Linked DNA regions of Rattus norvegicus. The main gene of each other region encodes a partner of the protein of the gene in region 2 in a complex. Links are inferred from orthologs where the notes say so. Each region holds a gene or a part of one and is shown on either strand. Other genes may lie near its edges.

The links. The genes of interacting proteins can lie anywhere in the genome.
Region 1: the proteins of Kidins220 (region 2) and Xpr1 are in contact, whole or in part, in a cryo-EM structure (PDB 9JXQ), measured with the Homo sapiens proteins. The link is inferred for Rattus norvegicus from reciprocal best matches to the Homo sapiens genes KIDINS220 and XPR1. Residues at the interface, in NP_065789.1 of Homo sapiens: Glu36, Cys37, Gln39, Asp70, Trp72, Met102, Trp105, Trp110, Tyr113, Lys114, Val138, Ile142, Trp143, Gly146, Arg147, Ser166, Asp167, Lys168, Tyr169, Gly170, Trp176, Arg179, Lys180, Gln198, Glu199, Gly200, Ala201, Ser203, Lys234, Arg267; in NP_004727.2 of Homo sapiens: Leu95, Lys189, Lys190, Gln193, Glu197, Ala200, Asn204, Glu205, Ala636, Asp637, Asp638, Leu641, Leu642, Gln644, Met645, Met646, Asp647, Gln648, Asp649, Asp650, Val652, Arg653, Asn654, Arg655.

Annotation. Positions count from the first base shown.
Region 1 is NC_086031.1:70,131,175-70,141,380, forward strand, and holds the start of Xpr1 (xenotropic and polytropic retrovirus receptor 1), read right to left. Parts: upstream 4,991-10,206; 5' UTR 4,896-4,990; coding exon 4,827-4,895; intron 3,840-4,826; exon of another isoform or gene 3,753-3,839; coding exon of another isoform or gene 3,750-3,752; intron 1-3,749. UniProt on the Homo sapiens protein: Inorganic ion transporter that mediates phosphate ion export across plasma membrane.
Region 2 is NC_086024.1:47,384,609-47,394,714, forward strand, and holds part of Kidins220 (kinase D-interacting substrate of 220 kDa), read left to right. Parts: coding exon 1-99; intron 100-267; coding exon 268-557; intron 558-1,655; coding exon 1,656-1,796; intron 1,797-2,452; coding exon 2,453-2,696; intron 2,697-3,210; coding exon 3,211-3,299; intron 3,300-4,693; coding exon 4,694-4,838; intron 4,839-8,151; coding exon 8,152-8,314; intron 8,315-10,106. UniProt on the Homo sapiens protein: Promotes a prolonged MAP-kinase signaling by neurotrophins through activation of a Rap1-dependent mechanism. Provides a docking site for the CRKL-C3G complex, resulting in Rap1-dependent sustained ERK activation.

The sequences.
Region 1 (10,206 bases), on a different chromosome or scaffold from region 2:
CATGCACTGCATCTGCCATATCACACAACAGAAAACCAGCTCGTGACCATTACTTGTTTATTTAAGTTAAATAAGGCTTATGCTGGGGGAATAGCCCAACGGTATGGCGACTTGCTTAGCATGCTCAAAGTCCTGGGTTCAATTCCCAGCAAGGGAAACAGTTTCACTGGGTTTTCCAGTCATAGAGGAAAAACACAATTTTAAAAAGTTAGTGTTTTAATGTATTTATTTATTTATTTATTTATTTATTTATTTATAGTTTTGTTTTTGTTTTTTGTTTGTTTGGTTTGGTTTTTGAGACAGGGTCTCATTATGTGACTTTGGAACTCACCATGTAGATCAGGCTGATCTCAACTCACAAAGATTCTCCTGCCTCTGCCTCCCTGGTGCTGGGAGTCACTATGACTGGCGTTTTACTAAAGTTTTTGAAAAGGTGATTTTTAAACATTAATTTCATATTAGAATTTAAAATAGTTTCCTAAATTCTCTCTTCATAAACTTAATTAAACCATAACAAAGCACAGAACTTTAGATGAATGGTAGATCATATGAGGCTTACTCAGAATCCATCAGTGTTCAATCACACAGCTAATGTGACCTGTTTCCCAATACTAAAACATACAGTGCTCAAGAAGCTAGCTGAGTGTGTGGGTGTGTGAGTGTGTGGGTGTGTGAGTGTGTGTGGGTGTGTGGATGTGTGTGGGTGTATGTGGGTGTGTGGGTGTATGTGGGTGTGTGGGTGTGTGTGGGTGTGTGTGTGGGTGTGTGTGGGTGTGTGGATGTATGGGTATGTGGATGTGTGGGTGTGTATGGGTATGTGGGTGTATAGGTGTGTGTGGGTGTGTGTGGGTGTGTGGATGTGTGGGTGTGTATGGGTATGTGGGTGTATGGGTATGTGGGTGTATGGGTGTGTGTGGGTGTGTGGATGTGTGGGTGTATGTGGGTGTATGGGTGTGTGTGGGTGTGTGTGGGTGTGTGGATATGTGGGTGTATATGGGTATGTGGGTGTATGGGTGTGTGTGGGTGTGTGGATGTGTGGGTGTATGTGGGTGTATGGGTGTGTGTGGGTGTGTGTGGATGTGTGGGTGTGTGGGTATGTGTGAGTGTGTGGATGTGTGGATATGTGGGTGTATATGGGTATGTGGGTGTATGGGTGTGTATGGGTATGTGGGTGTATGGGTGTGTGTGGGTGTGTGGGTGTATGGGTGTGTGGGGGTGTGTGGGTGTGTGTGGGTATGTGGATGTGTGGGTGTGAGTGTGTGGATGTGTGTGTGGATGTGGGTGTGTGGGTGTGTGTGGGTGCGTGGATGTGTGGGTGTGGGGGTGTGTGAGGGTGTGGGGCTGTGTGGGGGTATGGGGGTATGTGAGGGTGTGGGGGTGTGTGGGTGTGTGGGGGTGTGGGGGTGTGGATGTGTGGGGGTGCGCTTGCGAGCATGTGCACACATTCAAAAGATGACAAGTAGCTTAACCTTCATATACCATAGCTTCTTTGCCTGAAAAAGCAAAGAGACAGATAATCTTTAAAATTCCCTTTCAATTCCTGAACTCTAGAGAGCTCATTGTTTTAGTACCTTATGCTTTCTACAGTAGTTACTGAAGTCATTCTTAGTCCTAAGAAACCAATGAGCAGGACCCTCGAACGAAAAATCACATCATCAATCAAAGGCTTCAAACATATTTGCCTCCTTTGTTAATATTCTATAAAATATTAACTGATCATACTAGTCTGTTTGGATGAAACTGGCCTGGGTTAATTTTGATTAACCTATTATAGACCTCTGAACTATACAACCATTGATTCCACATTTCTTTAAAGTACTGTTAGAAATACTTGTTGATGTTCTACTTTCCACACTGAGATTTGTACTTGGGTTATTAGAAACAAAGAGAGTGTCTACTCATTTGTGTTTATTCCCAGTAAAACTACAAAGTATCGCCTAGATGTCCTGTACATGGTCTTCCCATGCCTCTCTATTCCTTTGTACTTATTCTGCCTATGAAAGCACACATTTCTAGTGGAAGACTAATAATTTTCAGGATATTATATGCTACTATCATTAATAATTTCAGCAATTCAAGAATAAAAAAGAATTAAAAGTTAAGCCAAACACTTGGGAAGGCCTTAAAAGGTTCTGGCCTCATATGTATTTTTTATAAAGAAGAAGAAAGCAGGAAGAGCAGGAACATTCTCTCCAGAGCCTCACAGCTAACATACACAAGAGCCAGCTTACAGTGCAGCCGTGTGTCCATAATATTATATATAATTAAGTGTTACATAGAATTATAGATGGAAAGCTCCTCCTGATTAAAGTAATATTTACTAAGCTGACAGACAAAGAGGCTGAACAGTTCATGTTGGTTCAGAGTACTAGAAGGCAGCCTAGGCTTCAACGAAGGGTAATACATCAAAATTTCATCAACAATGCTTGAAAAACAAATCCAAGTCTGTTCTGCTGTTTTAGAGAGCATCATTTCCCCTATGTAAAAATACATACTACAAAAAATTAAGTGAAGGTCTTTTTCCCTAGCAAAAGCTGACTTTTAAATATAGATACTTTTTATCCCTGGCAATTTTTTTTTTTTTGAGTCAGGGTCCCTTCCCTAACATTTTAAGGAAGCTAACATTCTAACATTTCCAGACCTCAAAAATTCTAACTTATACCTCTATGCTATTTTTAAAGGAATAGCACCAAATCTTTGGAAATAATACACAACACAAAGACTGCAATCCCATGCAAATGTCTTTAATGGTTCCAACTTACAAAGAAAAGAGCCCCTTATTTTTCACCTCGCCTATGGAACGATGAATTTACTGAGGTAGGAGGTACATAGTAGGGAAATCTCTGTAGAATCAAATTTCAATTATCCACAATAAATGAATTTTTCAAGAGTAATTTATAATTGGTCTGAGAAAGATAATGCAGTCGCTCAGAAGCATAGGAATTCTGTCCCACTGTGACCAATCTAGAGTAACCATTTAGAAATAATAGTAACCAAATAGACTGTAAATTGAGGAGTCCCAGAGTCACTGTTGTTACTCCAGCCACAAAGCTGACATTACAAATCAAGGGTTAATTGCATTTTTTTAAACTAAATTAGGCTTCCCCTTCCAGCCCAAGATAGTCCACATTAATTCTGTAAAATAGTCAAATGTTGAAATACTTAAAAAGAATCTCAGGATATGTCCAACCACGGCTCCTCTGACCAGAAGCAAGCATTCCACACTGTCCGCGCTCCAGCACTAAGCTCTGGGAAGAACTGGCAGCGGTGCTGAAAGTGCTGGTAGGAAGATGAAAACCCAATGCCCTTGTCTCAATGAAACCCACCATCTGGACTCTAGCCAAGGCTTTAAAACTGACTGAATGTTATTACAGACAATAAATCAACAATTCCACAGCCTGAACTGTTAGGACCTTTCCTCACAGAATGTGGCAAGGGAAGATTACAAGGAAACTGACAAGAGAGCATTAGTAATGAGCCGTTCATTTCTGGCATTAAATACAATATATTACAAGTAAACTTATTTTACACTCTTCAAGATTCTGTTTAACCTAACTATCCCTTTCCCCGCTCTTCAATTATTACAATGGCTACATGAATAAATGAACTTGCTGCTGTTGCCTAAACATCCTATCACTAAATTTATATAAAAGTTAAAAAGGAAATCCAAAATATCTTAATTCATAAAACCTAGTTAGTATGTGTGTGCATGTTCCTATTGATTTTATATTCTTTGTTCCTGCTCATACCATAGATGTGAGTTCCTGGAGGTCACAGATCCGCTGTCTTTTCTCTCTCCAGGAGCTGATCTACTAGCTTCTGAGAACAACCTATTGAAGCTTAAAAAAAAAAAAAAAATCCCTTTCATTCAGGTATTCTACCTTTTAAGTATGTAAGTGGTTTTCACTTCTTTACTTTTCCCAATATTGATGCAAGGTCCCTTACAATGTGTATTAAAAACCGTCCAAAAGCTGTGCAAGAAGAAGAAACTGAAAGGAAGAACACGACTTGTGTAATACACAAGTAAGGTACAGTATTTATATGACAGTGATTTTTTTCTCCCTACCAAAAACTTAGCAGAAAAATCTGAAATTTTAAATAATTCTCCTCCCTCCTTCCTCTTCCCTCCAGTCCCAAACCAGAGAAGAGTGAAAATCCCAAAGATGTGGTTATTCTGTATAGTTCGTGCAATCAGTACAAAGACGAGGCACCGTCTCCTTATCAAAACAGAACTATTGGTTCGATGCGTTTGAAAACTATAACCACTGCATTAGATGATACACATTTCACCAAGTTTCAACCCTGTTACAAAGCCTTTGTCAACAGTGGGTAAGTGGAGGTAAGCCGACGGGCTGGGTGGAATGAAGGCAATCGCTGGAGGGGTTTTTCTTGCAAGAGCACGGTTCTCTGGCGAGAGGTGAGCAGCGAAAAGCACCTAACCTTGGCAAAGGGGGTGATCTTCCGCGGTGGGGACCAGAGGTCAGGGTGAGTGCGGAGGGGGTGACGCCGAACCGCCGCGACCCCGGGCCGCCGTCGCACCTGCGGCTTGGCCTCCCACCACTATTCCCCAGCCCCAGCCCCAGCCCGGCTGTGCCCTTCCTCTCGCCGCCGTCTGCATATCCGTTACCCCGGCGGCAGAGGGCTGCGGGGGAGGGGAAGGACGGCCTGGCCGCCGGGGGCCAGCAGCGCCGGGGATGCCGCAGTGGCTTCCCGCGGCGGTGGGTCAAAGTCCGCCCGGGCCGGGGAGCTCAAGGCAGCGGCGGAGGTCGCGCCTAGGGAGATGGCAGCCCCTCCGAGCCCGCCCCAACCCCAGCAGCCGCGGGTACCTCATACTGGATGTACTGCTTCCTCCACTCGGGAGTGATGTGCGCGGAGAGGTGCTCGGCGAACTTCATCCTGCCGTGTCCCCCTCACTCCCACCCGGCTCCAGCAGCTACAGGCGGCGGCGGCGGCAACAGCGACTCCGACTCCTCCCCACATGGGCCCCGGCGCTGCGCGAAGCTGCGCTTCTCTCCTCCTCCGCCGCCGCCGAGGTCTCCTCAGAGCCGCCCTCCCGCCATCTTCCTCCTCCTCTCCATAGCCCCGCCCCGCCCCGCCCTCTAGACGTCATCGCCATGGTAACCGCCTACGCCGCTCCGACGGAGGGGGCAGAGTACGGGGCGTGGCCTCGGGGGCTTTCCCTCATGCTCCGCCCCTTTGGGCCGTACTGTGAAGGCACCTCCCCTGACCTCTTCCGCCTGCCTCCAGTCTGCCTACAGCTGCTTTCCACACTGTGCCTGGGAAACAGCACTATTGTTACTGCAATTAATCTTGGTACTGGAGCAACAATAATCCACACAAGACAGACACAAGTTTGCAGAGAACTGTGCAAACATTGTTTCCATTTTAATATTGATTCTTCATAAAACCCTTTAAGATGAATCAGCAGTAAATCCAAATTGAGCAGTTGAAACAGTTAAGAGTCAATTGTATTTAAGGGAACTGTATTCACACGCTCTAGGTGCTCAATAAATGCTTGTTGAAATCAATTTAAATGTCAGTGCCAGAAAGTTTGTGTTGCTTCTGTATTTCAATGTAGTTGTCTAGGTAGTCCTAGAACTACCAGAAAGGCCAAAACATCTGAATACAAACCAGGACTGAAACTTTGCGATCCAGCTAACTGGGACTGGGGGCAAAGATTGAGAGGGAAAACAATGTTGAGAGGAAAGAGAATTCTCTATGCTTCCTCTCCCTGTGAGACAGTCCTGTATCCAGACTGACCTCTGGAAAGAAAGATATCACTGAGACACCAAAGTACCACATTCAATGTGAGAGTGACTACCCTGAAGGACTTATCTGAGGGAAAAGCCCAGGTCCCATCCCAGGTGATGGAGCTCTGGATAACGCAGTGGCTGACATTTTTTTCCAGTATGTCTATCCTTGTCCCTGTAGCAAGCACTGTTCTAAACCCCCTACATGTACTTTATCCTTTAACTCTTACAACTTTCATGAGACTCAAAGATTTGCTAGGGAAGACCTGTGCCTGGGACAATATAGATCTCTGTTGGCTTCTGAACACACACATACACACGCACGCACACACCACCACCACCACCATATTTTTTTTTCTCCTTTCCTTCCACTAAATTTCAGCCAATTTCAATTTCAGGAGAAAGATAGAGTATGAGGTAGGAAAGAGCACATCTTTCTGGCAAATGTTTGTACAAAAGCTTCAACCTCTGGGTCAAGAGTAATCAGAGGGCTGGAGAGATGGCTCTGAAGGTAAGAGCAGACCTGAATTTGATTCCCAGAACCCTTGTCAAGCAGCTCCCAATCCACCTGTAACTCCAGCTCTGTGGGTATTCGTGGCACCCAAGGACGCTTGCACTCACATAAAAATACCCACACATGGGCCCACACATGTATTCATAATTAAAAATAATAAACGCATATCTCTTTTAAGGAGATAGCAAGGATAAGCAAAGCCAAGGAGAAGAGAAGGAAGAGACAGACTCCTGCAGCCTGGTAATTCTCTGCCATCAAAAAGTGGCCCCTTCTAAAACAGCACAGTGCCAGGAGAAAAACAGGGGCGAAGGGGAGCATTATACACTGGGTACACTGTTACCACAGAGCAGCCCTCCCAAGCCTTAATTGTATATAAGATTCAGGAACTGTGGTCCGATTGAAGGAAAAATGAAATCCTTAGTACTAGCTCTAAAACCAATAATTCCTAGTTCTTCTCCAGCCTGACTCAAAGCCCAGATGCCTAGCCAGACACAAAATCTTTATTTATCCACACATGTGGATAAGGAAAAATAAATGAGACAAGGTCTTATTATGTAGCCCTGGCTGACCTGGAATTCTCTATGTAGACCAGGCTGGCCTCTAGTTCAACAGAAATCCTCCCCTACCTCTGCCTCCTGAGTGTTAGAATTAAAGGTACACACCACCATGTCCAGCAGAAATTTCTTTATTCCTAGCATTATTACAAATACTTCAACAAATACTTGAATGGCATTTGCTGAACACCTACTCTCGGCAGAGAATAAAGCCAAGTGCTTTAAGAATTATCTGAGGGGTTGGGGATTTAGCTCAGTGGTAGAGTGATCCCCAGCTCTGAAAAAAAAAAAGAAAAGAAAAAAAATTATCTGAATAGTTTTGCTCTGAACCAGATGGGCCCTTTGCTTAAGACTTCCCTTGTAAGTATAACCAAACTCTGATGAATGAACATTACAATATTCCAGTCATGCCCTTTGGGAATGAAGGAACAGTTCAAAATGACATAAAACTGTCTTTTCTTTGAAGGAAAGTCTGGTCAAAGCCACGGACAGACTGATGGCCGACGACATGATCTATACTATAAGGAGACAAGTGTCTCTGGCTGAGGAGAGAGTAAAAGATGGCACATCGCAGCGATGCTTCTGAGATCCAGTCTCAAACAACGATCTGACAAGCGGAAGAAGCACACCTCGGAGATCTCAAGGGCAAATAGCAGGATGCCAGAGCTGCTTAAGAGTGTCACAATGTTACCTGACCCAAACAGCCTCCAAAAGGTTGAAACTGTCTGTGAGGTCTCCGCACGTCCTTGGTCGGTCTGATCACTCTCTGCTCACCATAGGACAAACTGCTCATTTTTCTTGTCCTCTAGAATTGAGCACAGTGCCTGGCCCTTGGACATTCAGTAGTCACCGAAAAGGAAAGTAGGGGAGGAAAGAAGAAGGAGAGAAAGGAAGGATGACGAGAAGGGAGAAGGAAGGGAGGAGAGATGGAACAGGAAAGCAAGTCAGGCCACACCACCTGAAGGAAGTCAGAACAAGATTGTAAAATATGACCATGACACCAACATGGAGTCTCTGAAGAATGTTTAGCAAGTACCTAACTTGGGTCTGGGTAAGCAGTGCATATAAATGTTCCCAACACTGGCTCTAGGAGTAGCTCTTAAATAAAACTCCATATGGTCCTGAGCAAGGTATCTTAGCCTTAAAGCCCCAGTTTCCACAGCTCTCCAAAGACAACTAGAATACCTCCCTAACGAATTATTTTGAGGACTAGATGAGATTCTGCATTGACAGCCCTTTTCGGGAAGCTGGGCGTTCTTCCCATCCATAACTGGAAAGTTCCTATGGGTCAGCAAGCACTTTCTCTGCACTGGCACTTGTCCGGACACCTGCAAGTGCAAAGTTAATCCTCATGAGAACCTGGAGGAGGTAGGTGCTATCTTCAACCTCTCTTCGGAGCCAGGTGAAGGCAGGGAAACATCTTACAGGAGATCACCCACCTAGTGAGCAGTAGACCTGCATGAGCGCCCCTGCCGCCCAGCCCCCAGAGTACCTTTGAGCGTCACATTATGCTTCTGTGGATGCAACAGTTCAAGCCAGATGTGGCCTATGAATCTAATGACAGGGGAAGACGGTGCTGCCCTACACGGAGATGAGGAATGTAAGCAGAGAGTAGGTTTGGGAGTACCACTGACTTAGGCATTTGGAAGTCTCCAATTCTAAGGGGTTGAGCCTGAAGACTGGGAAGTGGTTCACACCTAAATGATATTTAAATCGAGAAAGCACAGACCGGAAGGGCAAAGAGGTCAAGGGAGCATCCCTGTGCAACGCTGATGAAGAAAGGTCGAGGAAGAAGGCTGAGATGTGGCCAGAGCAGGCAGCAAGACAGTTAGGAGTGAGTGATGTTGAGACAGCTGTAAAAGGTGGTTTCATAAAGGAGGCACCGATCAATAAACCAAATGTCACAGAGACATTGAACTGTATGACTTCTAAGCTTCTGGGGTTAGCAAGTCCAATGTCATTAATAACCCGAAAGGAATACATGAAGAAAAGGATAACACGAAGGCTTGGTGGAGGCTAAGTAATGCAGAACCCTCGTCCTTCCCATGCTGTGTTTATTCGCTGAACCTGTTGTAGAGTGGCCAGGAGTGAGGATCTAATAGTATACCCAGCAATTTATTTAGAAATTCATAAGTACTGGCTCTGAACCCTTTATATTTATCACACATAATTCTAAGTTTGGGAACAATTATACTTCCCACAAAGTAACTGCTTTAAACCTTAGAATTATGTGTGATAAATATAAAGCCCAACTGTTGCTCGGAAAAAAAAAAAAATAAGACCAGTGATCAAGCCGAATGCAGAGGAATTGCCCAGCTGAGAAAGTGAACCTTAAGGTACACCTCCTGCTGAGGCTGAGAGAGCCACGGTATCACGGGAGTAAAGATCATGTCCAAAGTCCAGCCTAGATTCACCCTCATGCAGGACCCGGTGCAGCTTTAAAATGGGATCAATTTACAGACTCAGCAGAAGTTTGAAATTTGAGCTTTCAATGATCTGTGACTCCTTTAAAAATGACATGAAGAATGCCCAATTTTTCTTGTTATTTAAATATTTTCTTAGCAAGACCGCACATCTCGAAAGTTTGCCCAGTTCAAAAACATTCATCCGGAGAGTGCCTGGGCATCAACTTCCCTACTTATCTCTAAATAAAAGCACATTGGGGCTGGAGAGATGTTCAGTGGTTTCAGAGAGGTCTTCTAGAGAACCTGGTTTCAATCCCTGCACGCAAATGGCAGCTCACGACCATCCATAACTAGCTCCAGGAAATCCAACACTGTCTTCGGGGCACTGCATACATGTGTTACACAGACACACACATGTAGGCCAGACACCCATACATGTGAAATAAAAATAAATCTCAGAAAATAAAGAGCCAAACAACACTAGGAATTTCAAATACAGTTTCAAGGTAGTCAGTAAATGGTGATTTCTAGAAAATACTTTTATTTTAACACGACTGAAATTAGATATACCTCACTGGGGTGTGTGTGTGTGTGTGTGTGTGTGTGGTATATATGCATGTATGTTTGCATGTGTGCTTGTATGCCTATTTAGGTTAGACGTTGACATCATTCGTCTTCCTCTATTACTCTTCTCCTTATTTTTTTGAGACAAAATCTCTCCCTGACCCTGAAGCTCAATCATTTGGCTAAGCTGCCTGACCAATGAACGCCTGGTGACCAGCACTGGAGTTACAAGGCCTAGCTTTTTTTTTTTCTTTGGTTCTTTTTTTTTTTTTTTTCCGGAGCTGGGGACCGAACCCAGGGCCTTGCGCTTCCTAGGTAAGCGCTCTACCACTGAGCTAAATCCCCAGCCCCACAAGGCCTAGCTTTTAAATGGGTGCTGGAGAGTCAAAACCGCATGCCCTCATGCTTACATAGCAGCA
Region 2 (10,106 bases):
TGGCTGAAATGATCGCGACCCTCTCAGATGCTTGTGAGAGAGAATTCGGCTTTTTGGCTACCCGTCTTTTTCGAGTCTTCAGGACTGAAGAGTCTCAGGGTAGGATTGCTCCCCTCCCCCTCTTCCTCCCTTCCTCCTTGGAATGTTTCTAGGGCTGAGGAAGGAAATAAATGTTCATTTATCTTCATGAGCCCATGAGTTGACCCTCAGAGTCGTCATGTGCTCTCGACCATAAAGATTTTGTTAATACTGTTTATTCTATTACAGGTAAAAAGAAATGGAAAAAAACATGCTGCCTCCCCTCTTTTGTCATCTTTCTTTTTATTGTTGGCTGCATTATTGCTGGGATCACCCTTCTGGCTATATTCAGAGTTGACCCGAAACATCTGACAGTGAATGCTATCCTCATTTCTATCGCATCTGTCGTGGGGTTGGCCTTCGTGCTCAATTGTCGAACATGGTGGCAAGTGCTGGACTCTCTCCTGAATTCTCAGAGAAAACGCCTCCATAGTGCTGCCTCCAAATTACACAAGTTAAAAAGTGAAGGATTCATGAAAGTAAGTGCTCTCATCAGAAAAACTGTACTGGGAACATGCTGCTGTCACCATGCCAACTTGGACATGCTCTCGAAATGTTAGAGTTACATTTAAGGGTAGGGACTGAACCCGGGACCTTGTGTACACCAGGCAAGTACCTTACCACTCAGCTATATGTCCAAGACTGTTGCATTTAACCTCGTTTAGTTAGTTTGTTAGGTTTATAGGAAAATCCATATTTACCCCATGTATCTTGTGTATCCTCTGTTATCAACAGCTGTCACCAGAGTGATGCATTTGTTCAGTCCCCTGTATTGTAGTCAGACTCAGTTTGCATTAGGTTCAGCCTTGGTGCTGTACACTCTTTGGGTTTGCATAAGTGTTTGATAGCATAACATATGCAAGATTACAGTATGTTTACTGCCGTGAAAGTGCCTGCTTTCCTGTTCAGCCTCTGTCTCTCCCCAAACATGTCAGACCCTGAGGAGTTCACCGACTCAGTAGCTGCGTCTTTCCCATGATGTCATGTAGTTGCAACCATGCAGTATGTAGCCCTTTCCTATTGACTTCTTTCATCCCTTTCATGGCTTAAAATTCCGTTGCTTTTTAGGCCTGATGAATATTGTTGCCTGAATGAAGAGTGTACATTTATTCAGTAGTTATGAATACAATTGCTATAAGTATCTGTGCTCAGGTTTTTGTGTAGATGTAAATTTTTTAGCTCTTTTGATAAATAACAAGAATTATAATTACTGAACTTTATAGCATGAGTATATTTAACTTTGTTTAAAACTAGATGCCACCAAGGAGCCAAGGGTATTGTAGCCATTAGTAGGTGTTTTGGGTGGAATTCAAGTCCAAGGCTTTTGTCATTCAGAGTCTAGTTCTGGCAAGTAAGTCTCTCAGCCTCCTCTGTAGTCAGTCCTACCACAGCATCCCCTGATGACATTCTAAGAGTCAAGTATTGTCAGTCCATAACTGAAACCCTTGCAACAGGTTTAAATGGAACCACTGCCAGCAGCAAGAACTTCGGGTTTCTTTTCTTCCCTTTAGATGGGTTTCTCTTGTGCTTCTAAAGGAGTGTGCCTTACCTTCTTGTGTCTTCTGTGCTTTGTGCAGGTCCTGAAGTGTGAGGTGGAGCTGATGGCCAGGATGGCAAAAACCATTGACAGCTTCACTCAAAACCAGACAAGGCTGGTGGTTATCATTGACGGCCTGGATGCCTGCGAGCAGGATAAAGTCCTTCAGATGCTGGACACTGTATGTCTCACTGTCTCACTGTCTCAGCTTGCCACTGTGGCCACGTAGGATGCATGACTTCACAAAATATCTCAGTTAGGATGGAAACTGTGCTTCTTATTTAAGAAACACTGCTTTCTTTAGTGAAACTCTCTTTCATAAGAACTATATTTTAAAATTCAGAATTACAGCAAAAGTTAATGTTTGATCAAGAATGTTTAAATCCTTTCAGCCTGATGGTGCTTTAGGAAAAAAATACAGCAAAAACTCACACGGAGTATCTCTAAATGACAAGCGTGGCTGAGCTGTGCAGGCTGTCATGTTTGTACTCTGAGATGACAGAGGAACCCATAGATTTTGTAGTGTTGTTAAAGCAGACTGCTGTAATCTGAGGTTTGTTATAACAGCAGTGCTTAACCGAGTGTACAGAACTCACGTGTGCTCCCAGAAAGTTGCCTCGCATGTTGAGCTTGCTTTTGTGTAGGCTCCAGGTGTCTGAGAAGGAAACCCCTAAGATTGAGCCATCTATAAAAGTTGTTTTTATAGAGAATACATTTTGATGAGAAATGAATGATATTAAAAGATAAAGCACCAAAGGATAGTACAGATTTTAAAAAGGAATTTTTTTTGTACATTTTAAAAATTTGTGTCACATCCATACCTTTCTTCTACCACAGGTCCGAGTTCTGTTTTCAAAGGGCCCTTTTATTGCCATTTTTGCAAGTGATCCGCATATTATCATAAAGGCCATCAACCAGAACCTGAATAGTGTGCTTCGTGACTCAAATATAAACGGACATGACTACATGCGCAATATAGTTCACTTACCAGTTTTTCTTAATAGTCGTGGGCTTAGCAATGCAAGGAAATTCCTTGTAACTTCAGCAACAAACGGGGACATTACATGCTCAGACACCACAGGTAAGCGTCAGCCCTACAGTACTCAGGCTTGAAGTAATCTGGAAGGTTTTTTATAGTTTCTCTTTGCCTTGAAAAATGTTTCTATTTTACATCTCTTTAATATCACACAAAACAACCCTGCACACAGTGCTTGTATTGATGACTTCCGTTGCTGAGATGAAACACCATAACCAAGGCAGCGTGTAGAAGGAAGGGTTTATTTCGCTATGGTTCCGAAGGGATAAGACTCCAGCACCGTCATGCAGGGAAGTGTGGCAGTGTGTGGACGGCATGGCGGCTGGAGTAGGAAGTCGAGAGTTCACATCTCACACTGCAAGCAGGAAACAAGAGAGCAAACACAAATGACATGCATCTTCAAACTCTCAAAACCGTCTCTCCGGGGACACACTTCCTCCTCAGGCCTCACCCCAAACCTCCCCAACAACAGCATCAAGTGGGGGCAAGTGCTGAAACTCCCGAGACTCTGGGAGACTCATCTTAACCACCATAGCGCTGTCTCCATGCTTTCTTCCAGGAACACAGGAGGACACTGACAGAAGAGTTTCACAGAACAGCCTTGGGGAGATGACAAAGCTTGGGAGCAAAACGGCTCTCAACAGAAGGGTAAGGTGCCATTCGTGCCACTTAACCTAATGGTCTGATTGACTTTTCCTCAGAGTCTTGGGGTTGAACCCAAAGCCTTGTGCATGCTAGGCAAATATTCTGCCACTTAGCCATACCCTGACTCTGATTTTTTATTTTTTTAGCAGTCATTCAAATAAAGTTAAGTGAGTGACACCTCATGTTCTTCAGTAAACATGGTGGTAAGCTCCTGAGATCAACATCAGTGCTGAGCTTCCTATCAGCATCAACTGCCTCTGAGCTGCCTGGGGCAGTAAGGACCGTGGTCTGGGAGGAGGCCTGCTCCTCGGCAGCCTCTTCCCAGGTCATGAGGTGACTGCTCCTCCAGTAGTAGGACTCATAGCCAGCAAATGATCGTGGCCTCACACTCATTCCTGAGCAGGTGCCATCCTTACTTTATCTCTCTAGGTTCTTCCTCCTTGCCCAGCATTTGCAAGGTCTGGATCGTAGTCTCCACACCCAGCTGTGGTTCTAGCCCTTCCCAGTCTCCTTGGGTTTCTGGTCATTACTTCAGACTCTGTCCATTCATAATATTTGTAGGGCAAAACCAGATGTATTTATCTAGGCTCATAAAGTGGGAGGATGTTCTCTGGCAGGGAGCCTTGCTGATCGTGTCGCTCAGGGGTGGCCAACATGGGCTTACACTGGCCTTGCCTTTCTTCTTGTTTGCTACCATTTGGACATTACTTTTTAAACCTCATGTCTTTGGTTTTGTGCCCACATGCTTTACAGGTTATGAATTCAGAGTTAATATGAATGACAAATGATATAGCCAAAGTCAGGGGAGTGTGTGATTCCACATTGTGAATTTCTTTCCTGGCAGCCCCAGTTCTTGGGTACCAATGGTTTCGACCTTTTCCATGCTTTAGGACCCAGGATTCCTTATCCACTCCCCTACTCTGCAGAGTGCCTTCAGCTCTCTGAGGAAATGCCATTCCCTGGCTGTGCCTGGGATAAAACAATGTAACACTTTGAAACAGCCTAAGACAGAGAGGCTGAGTCCCTGAAACCATGAAGGAACCTACCTGCTTCATTGTTTTATGGTTCCTGAAGCACGGCTTCATGGAGCTTGACTGTGATTCTCTTTCTGGAGTTCTGTGTACCTCTCATCTGAGACATTAAGCTTTCCCTCACTGTACGGTTGTCAGTGTACATGGGCTAGAACCTGCCAACTACTGTGTAGCTGCTCTGGAAAGTGTCTGCCTTAGAAGCACCCACACTTGATTAGCCTGTAACTGTTCTCTTCGGTTAATATTGTGAATTGTGTTTTTCTTACCCACTGAGTACTCTGCTGTCTGTTTTGTTGTTCCTACCACAAGCATCCATGTTAACCCTCAAGGATGGATGTTTCTCTCTCATTGGTGCTGTCGTTTCAGGACACTTACCGCAGAAGACAGATGCAGAGAACCATCACGAGGCAGATGTCCTTTGATCTCACAAAGCTGCTAGTCACTGAGGATTGGTTCAGTGACATCAGCCCTCAGACCATGAGACGGCTACTCAATATTGTTTCTGTGACAGGTGACTTTTATTTTCCATGTTCTGTGATAGATAATAGTTTTTATTTTGTTTATTTTATTTTATTTTTTTTTTTTGGAGCTGGGGACCGAACCCAGGGCCTTGCGCTTCCTAGGTAAGCGCTCTACCACTGAGCTAAATCCCCAGCCCCTGTTTATATTTTTTTGAGGTAGTAGGTATTGAACTCAGGGCTTGTGCAAGCTCCGTGAATGTTCTGCTATTGAGTTATCCCCCAGCCACCACCACAAGCTTTAAAGTTAGCAGAGCGCTTTGAGTATAAGCTCTGTTTGTAGTAGTAGTTGACAGTAGTAATTGACAATCTGATATCACTTGGACATTTATTTTAAAATTTCATGATTTTAAAGGTCTTTTGCTTTATATTTAGGCTAAATTTATGTAGTTTACATAACAGTACAATTAATATTTGTGCTGAAACTCAGATTTTTATATACTGCTATGTTGTTTCAGTTTTTATATAATATTTTGAATAAAAATGTTTGTAATGCAATGGGGACTGTTAGCCAGGCAGTGGTGGCACACATCTTTAATCTCAACACTCTGGAGGCAGAGGCAAGCCTATCTCCTTCTGATCAGGTTCAAGGCAAGCCTGGTCTACAGAGTGAATTGTAGGACAGCCAGAGCTACACAGAGAAATCGTGTCTTGAACACCCCCAAGCCTGCCCCGCCCACTCCCCAAAAGGTGCTTATTGCTGTGACTGAATTCTGTGTGGATGCTGCTCTTCTGTATGTGAAGACTAGCATTAAAGCAGTCATAGACACACTTTGCCATTTAACTTATAGAGTGGGTTTCTTCCCTTGCATGGTATTGCCTACTACCTTCTGGTATTTCCTAGTGTTGATTCTGTCAACTGGAATTGCATTTTATACTAGTTTAGGGCTCATGACATAAACTGTATTATTGGTGGGATCATACCTAAGATAGCATTTTTATAGTTAAATCTCTTTAAATGAGACCTCAACCTTCCCATGCTGGTTCGAAAGAGGAACTATTTCCTGCTATTATTGCTAACACTGATATACTCACTTGGCAATAGGTCCTATCATCCTCCTTATGCCAAAGGATTGGTCTGGACATTGTAGAAATTAAACAGGAATTAAGGCAGCAGCTCTCCCCCTCATTACCTTCCTTCCCTGGGACTTCTGGCTCTGCCCTGCCTTGGCCCTCACTTCTGCTCTCAGCACAGCTCCTTGGTAGAGTACACTCTCTCATACTGCTCTCCACCCAGGCCTCCCAGACTTCCCACATGGAGCACACAGGGCCAGGGCCCCATCCTTGTCTGGACCCCACAAGCATGTAGAAATGACGTCCCTCTAACTGTGCCAGTTAGCATATTGTTTCCTCTTGCTCTTTAACTTTGGGCTGCTCGTGATCACAGTTCTTGGGGATCAGGTTTGTATCTTGACTGGTTTCATTAACATGGCCTGTCATGGTTCTCCGCCTGTGTGAGCAGTGAGTTTGCTCAGTTCTGCCCCTTCTAGCTTACATGTGAGCTTCCCCATGAGACCTTCCTGCATCTCAAATGGACTGACTCTTCCTCCTCCTTCCACATTTGATCCTCCTCCTCCTCCAAACAGCTGTCTTCCGACAGACACTGTCTTTGTCTATTTGCTCTCTGGAAGGGGACACCCTCATGCCAGGGTCTTTGTCTGATCTGCTTAACTGTCGTACCCACTTCAGCATCTGGGATTGATTGTGAATGAGTAAGAGACCTGAATGAAGTTAGAACCACACTTTACATGCTTCTTGAGAGAAGCGTTCTGAGGAAAAGGAGCAGCATCTGCAAAGGCTGTGAGCTGGATTCTGAGAACAGCTAGAGTGCCAGCCTGAGTGGAGTCGGAGGAGCAGAGTGGTGTGACGTGGTGTGAGACAGCTGCAGCTCATTTGAGGCCTTATGGCTCCAAAACGGGAAGGACTTTAGATTGCTGACATCTTCAGGTACGCCAAAGAGACCTGGCCTGATACCTCTAAATGGTAGCCAGGCCAGTGGTACAGACTCAACATGTTAGCCACTCCCAAGGCTCAGGCACGAGGCTCTCAAGTTCACGGCCAACCTGGGCAACTTAGTGAGTTGGATGTGGAGGTTTACATCTGTAATCCTAGCACTCTGGGAGTGGAGGCAGGAGAATAGGTATGTCAGAGCCAGCCAGGCTACTTGAGACCCTATGTTTTAAAAACCAAAAACTCAGCCTTCTACAAGAAGTATATTGTCAAGCTTGTTTCAGTGCTCGGACTTTCATTTTTATTGTTGCCCCAAAGACACATTCAGCTAAATACTCATCTAGTTACTTCACAGGTTGGTGTGTGTTTGTTGGATTTCTCATCTGCTTTGCCGAGTGAATGCTTCTCAGGAAGGCTGTGGCTGTATCATCTGTTCTGTTCCGGGTTTTACCTCAGAGTTAGTATTGTATTCATGGGTCCATAGCTGGCAGACATAGCTCACTGGGATGGAGGAGTCACATCCTGTTATCCACAAGCAAAGCAGATCCACCTTCCAGGAAGGTCAGTGGTGAAAATGCACAGTAAGGGTCTGAGGCAGGGAAGAGCTGGGTGAGGGTCATTGTCTGTACAGTGAAGGTGGGACAGGAGGATTCCCAGGAGAGCCTGTCAGACAGGTGGACGTGAGTCCAGGTATGGACTGACCTGATGATACGAGAATAGAGCTGCTCGTGTTTTTATGTGAGAGCCAAGCCTGTTTGCGATCCTGTCAAGGTGAAGGCGATGAAACACTGGAAGGAAGCCTTGATTCTGAAAGCTCACCAGTTTCAGTTGTCCTCAAATAGCATGCCCTGGGAGGAGAGCTGAGTTCAGTCCTCTGAACACCCTACAAACAGGCTCTTTTTATCAATAATGTAGACAACAAGTTTTAGATTCATTGTAATTAATATGATCTATCCCAGTAGGTAAGAAGGGAAGTGAATTAAGCCATAAAACAAAGACAGACCAGTATGTTTGGGTTCCATTAAGGACCTGGAGAGGTCCTTAGCAGTCAGCAGTGAGAACTACCATGGTGTTTTATTTTGTTTGTTGGTTTATTTTTTGAGACAGCCTTACTGTGAAGTTCAGGTTGGCCTCAAGACTTCTACTTCAGCCTCCTGTGTGCCAGGATTACTGATGTCTGCCACTGTGCCCTCTGAATCTTTAAAATCTGGATTTTACAAACCACATAAATACTTGGTTTAAATCTGTATTGTAACCAAATGTCAAAATTTTCAAATATTTCAATTATTTGTGACTATGCTGAACATTTCACTTAGTATGCATACTAATTTTTGGATGTTTATGGATTTGTTAAAGGGCGGCTACTAAGAGCCAATCAGATTACTTTCAACTGGGACAGGCTAGCCAGCTGGATCAACCTCACCGAGCAGTGGCCGTACCGGACGTCTTGGCTTATACTATATCTGGAAGAGACTGAAGGTCTCCCTGATCAGATGACCTTAAAGACCATCTATGAGAGGTATTTTATTTGACTGCTTTGCACTTAACTCTGCTTTGAATTCTAAAACACAAATAGTGCGTGCAAAATCTCTCCTTCTGAATCCAGTAGATCCAGGTCAGGCATCTGAGCATGCGCTGTCGTGATGCGAGAGCGAACAGGCTCAGGGTTCTTGTCCCTATAGCTTTTCCATCGTAGCCCCATGGCCTTTCTCTGGATTGCTGTTTATTCAGGTGTCTGTCCCATGCACCTGGGATGTATAACTTCCTCAGCTGCTCTTGTGTCTTTAGCTCTGCCTTCACGATGTGTGCATCGTTTCCTCCAGGGCCACCTGCATTCACACCAACCCTGTCACACTTTGCTTGTCTTCCTAGGCTTTTCTGAAAAATTTGTGTGTAGTGTCTATGACCCTGTAACATTTCCATTCTGTATGTCTGTAAAACTGGCATCAGATAGGTGACACCGAAGTGTGCAGAGTACTCACATGTTTTGGCGTGTCCCTGTCCCTTCAGTAGCTCATTCCCTTTTCTTCAGAACCTTACATGTGCTACTTGTTTAAAACTAAGGTTTTCAAATCCTTCTGGTCCAGTTTTGCTCTCAGTTCTTCCTGTAAATACGACTGAAAGTAGCTCTTGGCATTTCCTCTGCCGGGTTACGTAGCCCATTCTTTTTTTTTTCTTTTGGTTCTTTTTTTCGGAACTGGGGACCGAACCCAGGGCCTTGCGCTTCCTAGGCAAGCGCTCTACCACTGAGCTAAATCCCCAACCCCTATGTAGCCCATTCTTTAAACTCAGCCCCCCCCCCCTCCGAAGTATAGAATAGAATAGAGTTTATTCAGGGCATGGCGGTGGGAGTTAGGAGGGTAGTAGAGACAGAGAAAGGTAGAGAGGGAGAGAAGAGGAGAGAATTAGAGGCCGGCCATGAGCATGTGGAGGGGGCGCAGGGAGGGACGAGAGGACAGAGCAGGGGCAGGAAGGCAAGAGCAAGAGCAACTCAGCATCTTCTAAAGTCTTAAAGCACAGACAAAACAGACAGGACTGGGCCAGAGAGATGACTCTTGCAGCTGACCTGGGTTTGGTTCCCAATACCCTCTTCCAACTTCTGTGGGCACTAGGCACGCATGTGCTACATGCAGGTAAAACACTCATACACATGAAATAAGTCTAAAAAATATTTTAATGGAGACAGGATCTTTGCCAGAATGTAGTACAGAATGTGTGTGGCCTTCTAGTTCCCTCCTGTTCCCAGCACAGGTCGTTTTGTGCCCGAAGCCTGATAATCAGTGCTTACTGCTCTTGTTCCCATCCACATTCCAGTGCCTTGGGTTCCCCTGTTATAGCCCACCAGCTCTTCTTAAGGCATCCTGGGGCTTCTCCAGCTTACAGCCCCAGCCTCTCCAGACTCTTCCTGCAAACCAGGTGGATGGCCACAGCAGTCACTCTGTTTGTCTCGTACTCATTCTCTGTATTAGTAGACTTTCAGTGCTGTGACTGCAGCTAAGGAGAGGATGGTGGTATTTAGTTCATGCTTTCAGAGGTCTCTGTCTGGTGTGGTGAGGAGAGCCTGGGAGAGCAGAACTGCTCTCATTGTGGCAGACAAGAAACAGAGAAAGAATTGCCTGTGCTTTGCTTGAAAATTAAAGTTTGCATTATAGAGTCCACCATCTGAACCTTATAGGTAGTTCTGATTTTTTTCTCAGTTTTTAAATTGAAATATGTCTTGAGGCAAGAAGGTATAGAGGAACACGTGCACGTTGCTTAAAGATAATAGCAAGTGTACCCTTTTATGAAAAAATAGAATATTGTGAAAGAAT